2 linked regions of the Drosophila melanogaster genome follow. The protein of the gene in region 2 interacts with the protein of the main gene of each other region in a biochemical or structural test. Each region holds a gene or a part of one and is shown on either strand. Other genes may lie near its edges.

Region 1 (9,995 bases), on a different chromosome or scaffold from region 2:
GCTAATCGATTTGTTTTTTAACATAACCAATTACCACTTTGAAAACCTATGATTTCGGGTTAACCCCAAATGTTACTTACTATAATTTGTAATTCGTGAAGCACTAGAGCCCTCGAGCAACAAATGATGTATGGCTATAAGCACATGGATCTGATCTAGAGGATGAACAGAATACACTCGGCATTTTTAATGTAAATAAGTAGCGATACGCCGTTGACGACGTCGCCGATTGTAAATCCCATTGAAGCATGCACGCGGTAAATAAAAACGCCCATTGATAAATTCAATTGTATAAAAATATTTATTTCGACCCAAGGTAACAAATATTGTATTGGGGAAGCTATTAAATTTTATTAATAACAATGAAGCTAAAACATTTTAAATGGCAATAATTGATAAAAAAATAATTAAAAACCGTTTGTATTTGAGGAAATTGGCATAGCATCTTTAGATTGTGTTTCCAAATGGGCTGTTTTTGTTTTGATTTAAAAGGTCTTAACAATTTATGGTGATCAAAAATGATTTTTTGGTTTTAGACATTTATGTCTATTAAAGCGATGGAAAAGTATTTTTTAATTCTAAGATATACAGTTAAGTTCATTAGGTGCCCTTTGCTGTCCTCTTCCAAAGGATTACGTCTTGGCTAGAAAGCAAATTCAATGCAGTTTAGCAGAAACTAGACTGGGCTGGAATCATCATATTAGGCGTCGCATTTGCTTAGCTGCTGAAGGGCGTGCTTGGCAGCCGATAGCTTGGCCTGGTCCTTATTGCTCCCAAATCCGTACACCTTGATCGTCTTTTCCATGCAGGTAAATTGACAACTAACCATTACAGTTTCCCCTTCGACGATGGGCGAGCTAAACACGGGCTTCGCATGCTTGTGCTCAACGAGCTGTCGTATATGATTGATGGGCACTTTGCGCGTGAACTCCTGAAGCTCCGGCTCGAAGAGATTGAAAATTACCTCCCAAGTACGTTGGAGATCTCGGCAGTCCAGGTATACGGCTGCAATAAGGGCCTCCAGAACATCCCCCAACGCCTTTGGCACATCCACGTTTGTGGACATGTTGAACTCACCTTTTGGTGGGACTCCTTTCTCTGCTTCCTGAGAAATGCATTTATTTGCATGCGGTAACTCAGTCATATCCAATTCGTCATCCAAGTCCAGCGGAGTCGGCTGAACATCAGCTTCCTCGAGCAGAATGCGCACATAGTTGGTAACCCGGTGACCCTGGCTCTCCTGGAAATTCACGAATTTGGATATGATCTCGGAGAGCTTTGCGTTCTCCGCTAGGATAAAAAAGTGCAACCGATGCCGCACGCAAATGCAGGCCAGCGTAGTATTGTTGACCAAAGCGGAACGCAGATCTGTGAGGGCGCCCGGATTCATTTTCGTATTGTTCTCGAAAATATAGGCAGAGATTAGAAAGTCGAGTATGGCATCGCCAATAAATTCCAGCTCCTGATAGGACCCAGTGATGCGATTAGTGGGATACGAGGGATGGGTGAGGGCCTGCAACAAATATCGTCGATCCTTAAACGTGTAGCCAAGATTTTTTTCCAAATAATAGTGATTTATGAGAAAGCCGTCAATTTCTGTAGTATTCACGTTCGCCCGCATTTTCTTGCCGCCCAGTTCGAGGTTCAGTAACTGAGTAAGCGGCTTGTCAATATCCGCACGGCAAATCTTGAAGTACTCTAGCATCTTGAAGGCATGCTGCAATCCGTAGTTCTTAACGATTACGCCCAATAGCGCCTCAAGGGTATCGGCTATCACCTTGTTGGGAATCGTGACCAGTCCCACGCAGAAGTTCACCTCGGATGAAAAATCGGCACCGGCATAAAAGGACTGCCCATTTGCTCGACATCCCTCCACGAAGCGGTTGTAGTTGATATCGCTGCAGTTGCCCTTCACCAGGGACTCCTCATCGCCGAGAGCCAAGTCACGGAGATTGTGTGGGCCAATAATCTTTGCGAATTCCGGATTTTCTCGCCACAAGGCTAGAACATTGTGGGGCAAACTGATGCCAGGTGGAAGCCATGTGTATCTAGGCGTAAACTGAATGGTGTTGAGCGTTTTGGGAATGTCCGCGTCGATGAGGCAGAACAACAGGTTACGATTAGACACAAGCTTGGATTTGACCTCTGTAAGAGTGCCCTCATTCCAATCCGAATACTTGCTGGCCAAGTAGAGCGTGGCACTAAGTTTTAAGAAGGAATCGCCCAGAATCTCAAGGCGTTCCATGTCGAAAACATCCGCTGCGCTCGAGGCAGTGATTGCAGCCAAAAACTCGCCCTGCTCCGCTGGCGTTATATGTTCTTTGGAAACAGTTTTTTGCAAAATGAGCAGTGGTTTTACCTTCCCGCGGACAGTCGGTTTCGACGGCATCAAAGCTGGCACGTTTGCGTTAGTCTTGGCCGGAGTTCTGTTGCCATAGATATTACCCGTGGGCATATGGAACTGATTTTTTGCCCAGTATTCCTTATCTTCAAAATCCATCTCATTCATCTCACATACATTACCAACGCTAAAATGATAGTAGTAGTCCAGCTCTACGGGATACGTACTCAAAAGATTTCGCGACAGATCAACCGGCTCCATATACTTTTGCCAGGGATTTTCGAATTCTGTTATTTCAAGATTGGCCACGGACGCCTCAATGGACTTTGTGGGCATTGGCTCTAAAAGGGATTTCGGCTCCTCGATATCCTCAGTTGGTATGACATTGCCCAAGGGGTCGACATTCCGCTTTAGCGAATAATCAATTTCTAGTGGTCTGGGCATGTAATCAGTTCCATTAAAAGGCAGCAGATGGAGGTTTAAATACGTATTAAATCGCTTACGTAAGGCCTCTGCGTGGAGAAGGAAGTACATGCGGTTTAAAATGCTGGGTAGGAAGATCAACTTAAGCCATAAATCCCCAGGAAAGTTAAAATTGAAGCATAGCTCCGGAATCAAAATAACTTTCATCTTAGCCTTGCTCTTCGCGTTGAACTTTCCACGATTATGAACGTAGAAAGTGAGCTGTTCCGTAAGGTCTCTGACCTCGATCATAAACTTATCCTTGTGAACAACATCACCAATGCGGTTGCCGTACTTTGACATGGTAAACTCGTAGTAGGTCTTGTCCTGTTGGTTCTTTTCCATATAACTTAACGGTGTTAGCTCACGGTGCACCTTTGTGACCAGCATGGGCTTATCATAGTTGGCATACCATTGTGTAACAATTTTGCCCTCAAAATCTTCAGGACGTGGAGCAGGTTGTTGCTCGCGTTGCTGTACATTTGACCCATGACTTTGCGGTAGTCTTCGGAAGTTGGTCATCAGTTCCCAGTCAAAGCATTTCTGTTCACCCGCACCCAGTATGAGAGGAACTACCAGGTAGGAGTTCTCCTTGCTGCGACGATCCAGCACAAAGAACGGATGCCAAATCTTCAAGATATCGCGGAATACCATTCCGTGAAACTGATGGAGCAGCTCCAGCTGTTCGGAGTTCTGGATAATTACTTCAAGTGGTGCATTGGCCACTCGAACGTGTAGCTTACCCTGATTGCTAAACAGGGGCATCTCTGCAAGGCGTGGCAGCTTGTTCCGCAGCAATATAGCATAATTTCTTGGTGTTTGGAGATTTAAATACATGTGTTCCGTGTACTCACACGATTCAAACTGCGGCTCCAAAAATATTTCGTAGGCATAACAGATTTCACCTACCCGCGGAAGTGCGTCGTAAAACTCTAATGGACATTCGGTCTTGTAGGTTCTGTCCTTGCTCTTATCGGCCTTGTTGACTGTCGCAGTCACTATGGTTGAAAGATTAATATAAGTAAACATATCTTATGCGAGTTCTTGTGAACCCACCACTATCGCCATACTTATTCCAGTGCTCAAAATGAACATCAGCAATAGAGGCTACGCGCTCCTTTAATGTTTTGGGCACGAATCTCTCGTTTAACTCTCCCAAACTGTAGAGTACTTTACACGCTTTGAAGGCAGCTGATATTTTGGCTGTTTTAACATTGTCCATGGGATCGCTCTGAAAGAAATGAAAGCAATTAACTCTATTTGATTTTGCCATTTTCAATCTGAATCTCTAGCTTACGTAAATTGTGTCTCTTAGCATGCAATTTACTGGCATGTTGATTGAAATTACGTGCTTGCCCTTGGCAGAAACACCAAATATTCTATCACGTTCGTCTTCTTGCAATACATGGAACCAGGGGATCACAAAGCCAAAAGCATCCGTGGGAATTGTCTGGCAATAGCGATGCAGTATGGCCAGGGCATTGTTGGGAAGCAACACGGCACCGTTCTCATTGGTAAAAGGGTCAATATCGTCCTGGAAGTGCCCTTTGATTTCGTACAATTCTGGCTCAGTTTTTTCTAGAACTCGATCCTTTAAATATTCGGCAATGTCATTATGCGCTTTTCGATACTGATAAATTTGCTGAATTGTCTTTTCCCTTTCCTTATCAGCTGTGAACAGCACGAATTTGGCCTCAGTGGTACGAGCCCGACCCTTTGACTGCACGTACATGTTAAAGGTTTTAACAGGATCAAGAATAAAGACATGATTGCAGGCCTGCACATCGATGCCTTCTTCTAGGACGCTTGAACATATCATAAGATTGGCATTACCGTCCCGAAACTGCTGAATGGCCTGCGAGACGGTAAGAGCATATTTTGAAAAATATCAGCAATTAACGATAATTTCCACACCTACAGATTTTTGCCATTTTCTCTCCAAGACGCTCTCAAAGTCTGGAGAAATATTGTTGCGGCCCACCATGAATTGGGGCGTGAGCACGTTTCGCAGCTCAGGCGTAGACTGGATGTAGTTGAGCAGCAAGCCATAGATGCACTTGCAGGTGTAGCGGCGTTCAACAAAGACCAGACAGCAGATATCTTTGGGATCTTTATCAGCGAAGGATACCTTAAGACTCATCAGGAATCGCTGCACTTTCGGGGTGGAGAAGTTCATAATGACTTCCTCAGTGTTTACGTTGTCATCGTCGTCGTCATAAGTCATGTCTTGCAGTTTTTGCACCAGCAAGTGACGGATTTTCTCGCACAAGGTCAAGGCCGTCCTATGCATCAATTTCACGCTTAGCGTCTCGGCCTGGCGCCTCTTTATATCGAACTCAACAATTAACGAGATTATGGCTATGGAAGCTGCGTAGATGCCATACTCTTTCATCTGGTACAGAAAATCGTTGAACAGTTGCTTTACAAAGCTCTTCTTCGACGGATCCCGCAGGCATTGCAATGACTTTGACCTTCGGATCGGTTGAACGCCAATATTCATGAGGTCTAAGGATACATAGAACTTTTCAATTTCTGCGCTTATTAACCTTGTAACCGTGAGCACTTGCTCTTGATGTGGAAAGGACACCATGACCTCTGTGGGCTTGGTGGCGTACCTGAAAAGAATATGCACTTGTTGGGAAACTGTAGCTAAAATGCCACCCGCTCTTACAGCATCACGTTTTCCATCTCCTTGGTGTCGGACACGGTAATGATGTTTCCCCGATATGTGATCTCTAGCTCTTTAAGTTTCGTGGCCACGTTCGTAATTTCATTTCCCTTGATTAACACCCCGGTGAGACCCACCACGCGCGGCAATTTTGTTTGATTAGCGATAGTGAACAATCGCATGAACTCACGAAATGGGTGGTGACCAGTGCCGTGGTGGCACTCGTCTATGATGACAACGCTCAGGGAGCTTAAAGCCACGTACGTCTGGGTGACCATGTCCAAAAAGACCTGGGCTGTGCCAACAAGAACCTGTTAAGAACCAAAAATTACACATGTAGGTTTAATTCTGGAAGCAGTGTATTATTATTAACTATAAATATTCCTCGAATTACACTGAAAAGTCTAACATGAATTCAATGTAATAAAAATGACCATCAAATCTACTACTCGATGATCCAGAACAATCCACAAACTCAAGTTAATTTTAAATAAACAAATAAAATAAATAAATAAACAAATAAACATACTACAAAAAAAAAAAAAAACAAATAAAATACATCAATTGACGAAATGATGATTTTGTGATGGCTTAGCAAAACACGACCCCTTACGAGCCCATAAAAATGCTGATCCCAAATTTTTCGACTCAAGTGGTGATCGCAATTGCAGTGTGTAGTGGTAGTGTAGTGTTTAGTCCGTACGTGATCATATGCGTATATAAAAAATGCCTCCGCCATCCTATACTCACTTGGTTTTTTTTGATTTCATCACTCCACATTCCGCGCGTCCAGTCATCCACTCCCTGTTCACCCACATAAAAGCCAACCTTAAAGTTGGTGCACCGCCTGACGGCCATCGCCTGTTGTCGGGCCAATTCCACAGTATTGCACATGAACAACGCACGCTTTCCGCCGCTTTCGATGGGTCTGTGTAAACAAATCGGAATCCGATATAGGTATTACATATAATAATATATATATAAATGTAAGTATCGGATATAGGTAATACATATAATAATATATATATGTATATCCATTCGCTACTAACTTGTCAAAGTCCTGCGAGAAGCGCTTTAGGACCAGGATGGCCACGAACGTTTTCCCAGATCCTGTGGGCAGGTAGACAATGCCATTGCTCTTCGTTAGGTGGTCAACCAGGCGAAGTTGATAGCCGCGAGGCTGGAAAGGATTTTGTTAATTATTTTGCAATAAGCGAGAGCGCAAGCCAATTCATTTTACCTTGATTTCCACATCTTCCATATCTTCGCTCTTGGTTACAGAGTCTTCGGGATATTTTGATATTACAATTTGAAGTCAAATAATTTACGATTAAAGAACAAAGAAGCCGGTGACAGAGTGGCCAGCGGCTCTTATAAGATGCCTTGTGTCAAACGTATTAAGAATTGTGTTTCAAAACGGACTGGTCACACTACGCAGTGCGGTTCTTTGAACTTAAATTATTACCACAAACCGCAACATAAATAAATTTGTTTTGAAATGCTCGCTGCCAATAATATACCTTCCGGAAATAATAAACGTTTCCATTTTTATCGAAATCTGCAACAAAATAATAAGCATTTTCGGTAGTGTAAGTTCGTGAATTATTTATTATTTGAATTCTTAATCAATACCAATTGTTAAGAATATATCACATCACTTTTTGACCCATACTATCCTTAGATCATTTAGACCTTCGTTTGCAGCCCTCCTCCATACGAGTAAAGTTTCTTATTTCCTCATTTTTTTCCAAGACTTAAAATCTTGTCAAACTAATTAGAATTATACTAATTGAGTCTAATTAGAACTACACTGACGGAAATGAACGAAAATTCAATCGGGTAGTTTATATACATGGTGATTCTACTTTATTGATTATGCTCTTCACTTCTTATACATAACATTTTCTTATTGGCTTAAGGAGAATATGAAAAAGTATCGCTACGACTAAGACTACGCGACATCATCACGTCTGGCTCTTGTCATCACTTTTGACACCCTTTCCTCCGGACAGCAGGTCCTGGATTTCGATTATTGTCTTGCCCTTGGTCTCCGGCACGAAGAACAGAGAGTAGAAGAAGGCGATGACCGCGATCGCGGTAAAGATCCAAAAGGTCGGACCCGGCCCGATCGAGCTCTTGAGGATTGGGAAGAGCAGCGTGACCACGAAGGCCGACAGCCAGTTGCTGGTGCCGGCAATCGATCCTGCCACACTCTTCACATCCTCCGAGAAGAGTTCCGCCATCACCAGCCACGGCACCGGTCCGAATCCAATCGAGAAGAAGATTATGAAAATGCAGATACTGCTGATCGGCAACCAACCGAAATTGTCCATTGAAGCCGGATCGTTCTCCTTTAGCTGAAAGTACACGCCCATCAGTGCAGTGGACACGGCCATCAGAACGCCAGAGATAAGGAGCAGGATGCGACGGCCAGCCTTGTCGATAATGGCCACGGCAACCAGCGTGCTGGTCACTTGGGTGACTCCAATGATAAGCGTGGCATCGCTGCCACTTATGTCAGAGCCCGTATCCTCGAAAATGGAGGCGGAGTAGAAGAGAACGGCGTTGATTCCCGTCCACTGCTGGAAGACCTGCAGGAGCACAGCGATTCCAAGACCCTTCAGGACGATGGGTCGACGAAGGGAGGACAGAATGTTGACCTGCAATAAAAATAAGACCACGTATTATTTTCTAATCTTCACCAAAATCAATGTATTTATTAGGTATGATAAGTAGTATCTGCTACACTGATTACTAAATGGAATAATGGAAACAAATTACGTACCTGTGTTCATATGTAGTTTAACTACGAAATCGTTTAAGTTTAATGCAAACCCTATCTTGGTTCAAGTTATTGAAAATCTTAATGAATGAAAACAAAATATTATATACTATCTGAATTTACAACATTTCTTTTATCAGGGTAAGTATATGTATGTATCACTTCCGATTGTGTGATAATGGAAAGAGTAATAAATCTGTTAAAGCCCTGCGAACCCTTTATAAAGTTTCTTTATGCCTTCAATATCGATCGATTTTGATTGATTGATTGATTATTAGTGGAATGTTAACTAACCTGTGGCATATCAATCTGCTTCTGGGACTCCTCCAGGATCTCCTTGAGCTCGTCATCGATATCGGCATCCTTGCCGCGCAGCCACTGCAAGGCCTTGGCGGCATCATCGTTGCGTCCCTTCATGGCCAGGTAGACGGGTGACTCCGGCATGAAGAAGTGTATGATAGCAAAGATTACGGGCAGAATAGCGCACAGGATATTGATGGTGAGCAGGGGCAGGAAGGCGCCCACCAAATAGCCGTACAGCACGCCCGACACAATCAGCAGCTGGAAAAAGGATCCGATGGTGCCTCGTAGTGCTGTCGCCGTAATCTCTGTACAGTACATGGGAGCTGTTACGCAAAAGGCTCCGCCGCACATGCCAAGAATGAATCGTCCGAAGTAGAGCATGGTCACGTTTTTGGCGAACAGCATCAGCACCCAGCCCACCATGTACGGTGGAATTAGGGCTAACATAGTGGGTCTCCTGCCGATCCAATCGATGGCGAAACCAATGGGAATGCAGATCACAGTGGCGCCCAGGGTCAGCAGCGAGGATACCCAGCCGAACTGACTGGAGCTAATGGGAAAGCCGTATTCCGTGTTCACCGTTATCATATTCTCCACGGGCGAGGACCAACCAATGGAGGCGCCCATGCAGAGGGCACCAAAGCTGGCCGACAAGCCAGCAATATATTGTGGCAACACCGATCCCTTGGACATGGCGAGGGGTTTTTTTTTTAAATTGGTTTTTATAGGTGTTTCCTTGTCGATCGCCGGAAACGAACTGAATTCGCCACGCGACCGTTATTACGCTGGAAAAATCGCTTTTCATGCGATAACTAAAGCAGCGACGTCGACCGAGAAAGTCAAGCACCGCAAGTCAGAGCCGTAAATCAGTTGGCCATAGTTTCACCCACAAAACCAGGTGACAGATGATAGGTGGAGGCGGCGCAGCGTCATTGAGAGCGCCCAAAATCACTTGAGAGCCAAAGCAGCTAATTAAAAGCCCGACTCCAGCAACAACACATGTTCCAACATGTTGTAGCAATCAAGTGATTCCACAACAATTACCCGAATCTATGCCCTGCGGCGAAGTCCGCCCGCTAGCCCTTGGGATTGGGAGTGAGTTCGAAAGTATGTAAGTTGTGTGGAACGAAGTGGTCCCCCCGACCATAATAAATGCTTCATCATCTCTAACTCTGTGCGATTGGAAGCTAGAATATGTATGCGATTACATATATACCTTTTAAATTCCTCTGGGTAGTTATGTTTTAGATTTTATCGTAATTGTTGTTTCAATTGAGTTTTTTATTCTTTAAGCCAACTACTTGGTGTAAGACGCACTAAAAAGTTGTTAAACAAGACGGTGTGGAAAATAAAGCTATGAATGGGTTAGCTAAAAATCAAGTTATTAAACCATGATAACATGATAAATAAATCGAAACATTTTTATACGATAACAAACA
Region 2 (7,513 bases):
GATAACTTTAAAAAGCGAGCTGTCATCCCTAAATATCCCATGTACAACAATACAGCTGTTGCTATCGTAAACAGACGCTGGAATTTAGCTTACACACTCCATATTCTTTGTTAAATCCGATATTTGACACCGAAAATGTCATCGGCTATATACCTAGAGAACTATTTAGACGGTAAGAAGATTCTTAAGCATGGAAAACACTCGAAAACATATATTATTCACGATTTACAAACAGGATTGGAAAGTCTGCCAACGGAGCTGGAGAGAAATTTTAAGCTGATGCGAAAATTAGACGATCGAGCACAAACAGCGATGAAGAGCATCGATAGCCATGCCAAGGACTTTATGCGCAAGCTGGGCGAGAACGGGGCCATGAGCGAGGATGAGAGGAGGGAGCGCCAGGAGGATATCAAGGCACTGTTCGGAAAGGCCAAGGAGTACAGCGACGACAAGGTGCAGCTGGCCATTCAGACCTACGAACTAGTGGACAAGCAGATACGGCGACTGGACAACGATTTAGCACGCTTCGAGGGTGAGATTCAGGAGAAGGCCTCATCCACGCGTGCCAAATCCGAGGAAGTGGTGGCCAAGAGTAAGACTGTTCCAAAGTATCTATTCTTCCACAAGCTGACCCCTTCCTTTGATTCCATTTGTACAGAAGGTCGCAAAAAAACCAAGGACAGCAAGACGACGGGCAAAAAGAAAAAGTCCGCATCCTCGGATGAGGAAACTGGGCGCGGCAACAACCAATCTAACGCCAATTCCAGTGTCAATTCGAGCAGCAATGCCGGGCAAGGTAGCAAAAAGAAAAAGTCCAAGGTAAATCAAGAAAAAGAAACTCGCAAGGGGGGCGCTCAAAAGGTAAACCATCCACATTCTCATCTATACATTGTTAGAACTTTAGTATGTTTACTGTTTCCCAGTTTTCATTGACCCTAAATAGAATACTCTTTACTTTTATAGATTATCCCCATAGAAATCCTGCATTATCCACTGTTTTCCATATCGTTTGCATTTTCACTTATGTACATGCACGCCTCCACTATCGTCGAAACCCCATTCTTACTCATTTTGCTAACATACCCATTTAGAAAACCGTCGAGGTTGATGACTCTGAGAAGGAATCGTGCCACACGGCCGCCACTCATCCCAGCGACGTTATGGACATGCCCGTCGATCCCAATGAGCCCACATATTGCCTATGCCACCAGGTGTCCTATGGAGAGATGATTGGCTGCGACAATCCCGACGTGAGTATTCGATTTTGATGTACTCTGTGGTCAGTTCTAGATCTTTCACTCTACCATTTTAGTGTCCCATCGAGTGGTTTCACTTCGCTTGTGTTGGCCTCACCACAAAGCCAAAGGGCAAGTGGTTCTGTCCCAAGTGTACGCAGGACAGAAAGAAGAAATAGATGCAATCCTTTATGATTACTTAGAATACTACTTTAGATTAAGCACAAAATTACCTATTTAAATAAAGCCACGGCTACTATAACTTCAGTATTATATTTGTCAATTTATTTCCTAACTAATTTGTAGTTAAATAATTCCATATCATAAAAGATGTTTTCACAGAATATTTCTAAAGTTGGATTGATTAATTTCAATTCATCAATGCCCTTTAATTCGGAGTTTACAAAGTTTTTCAGCCCAAGGAAAAGAAAACTGCAAAAGTAGCGATTACCAAATACCGATTATATTCATAAGCCTTTTTCCTTCGCAAACTAGCACGTAGTCTACCTTAAACCTAGTTTTATCTGCCGTTTTACGTTTTTCAGAATTTGAAAGCGACTAGAAGATTCCAATATCGATTACACGCTTGTCTGTATTTGCAAGCGTACATACATTCATCGGTAAGTGTAGTACATATATGAACATTTACATATGCAGTTAACAAATACAACTGCCTAATCAAAGGAATCGGTGGAAAAGAAACAAAATATATATATATATATATGTAACATCGCCACTGCATTGAGCCAAAAAGTGGAAAGAAAAGCAATTAGACTGGTGCATTAGTTATCCCGTATCCACTCGGTAATCGCTCTCATCAAATACTCGTGATCGTGGTCGTGGTGTGCGTTCAGATTTTGCTATTCAGTTGGCTGCACCCCCTACTTCTTGGTCATGATCTTCAAGTACTCGAGGGCATTCTGGGCGGCATGCCGCTGGGCATCGGCAGCTGTTGGTCCGCTGCCGTGGCAAACGCCAACGGGCAGCGTGGACAGTTGAACCAGGCACTGGAACTGGCCAGAGAAGGTCTTCTCCTCTATGTCCACATAGGTCACCTCGAACTGGTTCTCCGTGGCGATTTCGCCCAGCAGCTTGATGTAATCAATCTTGTTGTTCTTCAAGCAAGTCTTCTGAAAAAAATACAAATGGAGTCGAATTAGCAGAGTCAAATTAAACTTTGAACTTTCAAGCAAGAACACTATTATTATAAGGATTGTGAGGGGTTAAGGCAAATATGTACTTTCGAAAGCAGGTTTTGAATGTTGGAAATATGTTTGTGATCGTTTTTGAATAAAAAGCGTTATTGGATTGAAATTTACCTGTAACTTAAGCAGTTTTTTGCCCGTTGCATTTTTTAGGGTCTTATGGAACTGGGATACTTTGTTACTGTGCTGCGTGGTCAGTGTCGGCACAGAGATATCTTTCAATTCACCATAATAATTTTCACTACTGCGGGGCTGTAAATAAGAGCGCAAAGTTTTTGGTTTCTTTTCTCCATTGCATTTCGCACACATTTGAAATCACACACGCCAATGGTGAGTTGAAACATATCACTTTTGTGTGGAAAAGGTGCTTTACAGATTCGTTCTTTAAAACAATCACCATGCCAAGGAACAATATGAAAAATGAAAAATGAAATAAGCCAATATAAACCATAAATAAAACCAGAAATATAAATAAGGTGTAAGCATTATGTTAATTATATGTATAATTATGTCAAAAACATTAGTTATAAAAACAAGGACAATAAAAAATATCAGATAGCACACTATAAAAGGGATGCTATAGTACTAAAACTCTAGCTAGATACATAATTTAAAAGATTATAGGGATATTTACAACTGAGGATTACTCTAAACGTTCTACATTACATTTGAGAAGGGATAGAGGACAAACGTATTAAATAATATATAACATTTATGACATATATTTGATAAAATCAATTTTTAAAATTTTATAAACTAAAGCATGGGACTGCATTCAAAATAATTGCACTAAAAATATTAGAAAATTGCTTGTGGGTTAGATCTTGATGAACTCAAAATCTTTAGAGACTTGCTCGTAACGATCGATGTCTTGAATGATACTCACTTCGCCCTCCAACTCGCCGCAGATGCTGTCGCTGATTTTGCCCGAATCGATGGGAGTCTCCTGCAGACGCATCCACATGCGGTGGGCGGCCAAGCGCTTGGCTATCTTCTTGCTTTTGCCCTTGCCCATCTCGCGGTAGTTGAGTATCGAGCAGGCGATCGTAAAGAGCCGCTCGTGGGGAAGACCCACTTCCGTTTCCGTTTCGTACGACGGCGGTGGCCATCGCCGTTGCATGCACATTTCCTGCAACCAGCCAATCGGATTACCAACGGTCTTGTCGCTGGCACTGCAAGGACATAATACAATAAATTGGATATCTTAGAATCATATCTTAGACATCAATAGAATAAAAACTCACTCTCCTCCGCCTGTGGCATTGGCATTGCCGTCTCCTCCGCTTCCGGCGACCGTGAGCCCAGTCACCGACGGACCAGCGGAGCTGCTAGGCGATTCCGGCAGCTGCGCGCCGATCAGCTTGTCGATGAGCGCACGGGCCGCCGCATGCTTGGCCTCCTTCTTCGATCGTCCTGCCCCCATGGCCGTGAAGGGCGTATCCTTGTCTTTAAAGGACACGCGAAACCGGAAGGTCGGCTCATGTATGGCGCCCTCGATCTGGACAAGTTCATAGCCGGGAGTAATTCCTCGTCGGCTTAGCAGCTCTTGCAGAATGCTGACGGGCGTCTTCATGGCCAGTCCATTGGCGTCCGTTTCGCTGACGAACTTTAAGGCCTCGTCGCTGGGCAATATTACGCCCATAAGGCCGACTCCACCTTGTAAGCCCGATCCGCCCGCCAAGGCAGGATCACCAACATCTGACAGCTGCAGCTGACCTGGCTGAGACAGCTGCGCAACCTGGGCGGATATCTTCTCCTTCTTGAGCTTCACATGGCGCTGCCCCAGCGGAGCACCCTTCACCGGACTACCACTGACGGCATTTCCATTGCCCAGGCCGACAAGGTTATTATAGTGCCGCCGTGGAGCAAATCCCGTCTGGACAGGATTGGGGGACGCCTGCTGCGGCTGGATGTGGAGGTTCTGTAGCTGCTGCGGCAAGCTGGAGCCGTGGAAATTCTCCTGGTCCATGGTGTTCTTGTTTTGCACGGTTTTCGGGAGGATTCGGTGTGTATCTGTTTAAAATTTCGGGGTAATTGTTGTTTGAAAAATCGATACATCACCGACGAATAGCGGGCGAAAAGTCCAGTTGACACTCTCGCCGAAATTCGGGGAGTACTCACGTTTGAATCGCGGTTTTAACTGTTTTTTATTTAATAATAATTTATTAATGGTTAGTTAATAATTCATTCTTAAATAAAAAATACAGCAAAATCCAGACGCACACACGAATTGTATGTATTTTACTGATATTTGTGGTTGCCAGACTTTTTTTGGATTGCCTACTTATTACACCCCCTACTCGTAGAGTAAATATGTTGAAATAAATGTATGTAACAGGTACAGAACATTTTTTTGTACAAATATATAATAAAATAGACCATGAATACTAATTTAACTCAAAAAAAAAAAAGAACAAAAATAATTTTTAATTTCTCCTGGCATGATCGTAAGTTTGTTTAAAAGTTTTATCGATAAGATATCAGAATGTAATCGAAATAGTTGAAGTGAGCGCCATATTTGAAATTGTTGTATAAGTATTTATTGCAGTGTTTGCTCCATTACTGTTGTACATATTATTAATAGATATATATTTAAACAACATTCAATCAAATCAAATGTGAATGCATGCGCGGAATTCTGTGGCTCGAAATGCACGAAATGTGGGACTCCCGTAGCAGTAAACGATAGTTTAAATGGTATTCTAGATCTGGCTGTGATCTTCCGTCCTAATCGTCGCTTAGAAAATCGTCATCGAGGTTCACATCTGTCGTATCAATGTTATCATCCAACGTAATTCCATCTATTTCCAAGTCCAGGTCGTCGTCGTCATCCGCAGCGGATGTAGGCTCGGCCACCTGGCTGCTAGAAACAACAGCTTGAGCGGGAACGTAAGCTGGCTTCACCTTCTCCTCCAAATGCTGGCCGGCGGCACCCTGCTCGGCGGCAAATAGTTCTTGCAGAGGATGACGTTCGCTATTCAGTGGTAGATTCGCAGCGAGGCGTGCCGGCGCCTTACGAGCTCGCTCCTCCTGCAAATGCTGCTCCACCCGCAGCGCATCGCCCAGGCCAGGGAAGAGATTTGTATACTGTGCCGGATCGGCCAGCGACTGTCCCGCCTTTTCGTTGACCTTTCCAAGCTTCTCCCGCCAAAGCTCTACGATCCTTGACATCTGGCTGGGCAGGTAGGTGCGGGCAAAGAACGCTGCCTCTGGCAACCGATTTGTCTCAATGAGAATCTCCAAGCAGCGTTCCACGTCTGAACGAAGGAACGCCGAGAGGAAAGCTAGATTGTGATGTCCCTGGGCCGAGCCAGCCGCACCCACCACCTCGAGCAGCTGGGCATCGCCGGAAGCTGTTGAGAGCAGCAATAGACCGCTTAAGTCGTTTGCCTTCTGCATGCACTCTTTAACCAGAGACATGTTGTTCTTGCTAGACGCCACATCTGCCAGCTGTGACCACTTCTGGGAGTTCTCCGACTCACGGGCCAGCTTTAAGGCGATTTCCAAATCTCCGATCTGTAAGGCCAAGTCAAACTTATGGTCGGCATCGGTAGAGACTTGCAGGGCCTGCGACTTAAAGCCCTGTTTCTCCAGAAAATGTGCCACCCTAGTGCGGTGCTCCTTGGGAATGGTCGGTAGCACAACGTCTGCGCGCTCAAAGTCTCTTCGCATAACCGCCGTCTGGTACTCCAGCACGGACAGCTGCAGACAGAAACTGATCACGTTCAACTCCTTATCGCCGAGGTAAATACGATTGTCCTTGGGCACGTAGCCCAGCAGATACATTGTGCGGTCTAAGTGGGATACTGTCACAATCTCGCCGCCCACGTAGTAGTTGATGCGGTTCACCGAGTTGGTATAGATGAAGCAGTCTCCCACCCAAAGTCCTGTTTTGACGCACTCCGAAACCTCGCCTGCAACACAAATGCATAATACAATACAATTATACTTTCTTGCTATTATGTGGTAAATGGAAATATTTTTTTAAATTTAAATTTAAAATAGTTTGCTCTCATGGTGAAATACAGAGTAAACCATTGTTGTATGCTCTCTATAGGAATATTGAAAGCGGAATCTCATTTGAGAAATCGTGTTTGAGACACGTATTCTAAAGATAAGATACATATTAGATAATTGGTATCAACTTACCCAGCACATTGAAAGCGCTCTCCACACCATCATCCTCCAGTCCCTCCTTGGTCTCTACGGCATTGGCAACCTGGGCAGTGTCCACCCCCAGGACAAAGTAGGAGTCATCTGTGGCCAAGCAGACCAGACTGCCACTTTCGTTCCAAAACACATTCTTTGGCTGCACCTCGATGCGCCTCACCAGTTGCAACGTCTCCCAGTCATAGAAGGCCAATCCGGATGAGGTTTTTACACCGAAATAGTAGCCACCGTATATGCTCTCGGCTCCGTACTCTGGAGTAAAACTCTTGCGCTCCTTGAAGTTGCGAAAGAGTCGAACGGTGCCGTTGTTCTCCCTGATGGCGTACTCGTTGCTCTCGAGGGCCCACACAAATTCTTGCGCGGAACCGAAAGCCTTATTTCTCAGGGCCATCGATGTGTAGATGATGTACTCGCCATCGCCGCATACAACGACGAAACGACCGTTGGGATTGTGAGCAATGGTCTGCGGGTAAATCTCGCAGGCGCCCATATCCTTGGTGGCAACGGGCAAGCGTTCGCCATCCTTGATCTCTGTGCCATCAGCAATAGTCTTTAGATTGACCTTTAGAAGAAAAGAACGAAGTAAGAAATAAAGTTGAAAGGATATGTTATTGTCTAACTAACCTGCTGCATTTCGGAGTGCTTGGCCCAAATGATCTTGCTTCCCACAACGTCCATAGACATTGCTGGCTCCTCGCGGCCCACCTTAATGATGATGGAACCCTCATCGTAGCCCAGAGCCACGTTGTTGGTGCCGCGCATGCTGGAGATGGTCCACACCCGCTCGAAGCCGTAGTTGAGGCAGGTCTCGAGGCGATAAGTGCCAGAGTGCCAAATGCGGACGGTGCCATCTTCTGAGCCAGTCAACACGATCGGCAATTCCGGGTGGAAGCAGACTGCGGA

Evidence for each region. Proteins that work in one complex are often made in the same cells at the same time.
Region 1: the proteins of loqs (region 2) and Dcr-2 form a complex in vitro, tested with the Drosophila melanogaster proteins (one study listed by BioGRID).

The regions. Positions count from the first base shown.
Region 1 is NT_033778.4:17,574,695-17,584,689, forward strand, and holds Dcr-2 (Dicer-2), read right to left. Parts: upstream 6,832-9,995; 5' UTR 6,733-6,831; coding exon 6,712-6,732; intron 6,652-6,711; coding exon 6,521-6,651; intron 6,400-6,520; coding exon 6,222-6,399; intron 5,783-6,221; coding exon 5,475-5,782; intron 5,419-5,474; coding exon 4,722-5,418; intron 4,659-4,721; coding exon 4,101-4,658; intron 4,035-4,100; coding exon 3,860-4,034; intron 3,802-3,859; coding exon 701-3,801; 3' UTR 285-700; downstream 1-284. Other genes in the region: CG6484 (uncharacterized protein), read right to left, coding at 7,436-8,131, 8,548-9,249.
Region 2 is NT_033779.5:13,379,836-13,387,348, reverse strand, and holds loqs (loquacious), read right to left. Parts: upstream 4,698-7,513; 5' UTR 4,562-4,697; intron 4,454-4,561; 5' UTR 4,410-4,453; coding exon 3,685-4,409; intron 3,613-3,684; coding exon 3,327-3,612; coding exon of another isoform or gene 3,258-3,326; exon of another isoform or gene 3,184-3,257; intron 2,823-3,183; coding exon of another isoform or gene 2,693-2,822; coding exon 2,555-2,692; intron 2,528-2,554; exon of another isoform or gene 2,366-2,527; coding exon 2,117-2,365; 3' UTR 1,678-2,116; downstream 1-1,677. Other genes in the region: Ing5 (inhibitor of growth family member 5), read left to right, coding at 136-172, 236-592, 659-861, 1,092-1,250, 1,313-1,414; beta'COP (coat protein (coatomer) beta'), read right to left, coding at 5,168-6,354, 6,590-7,172, 7,235-7,513.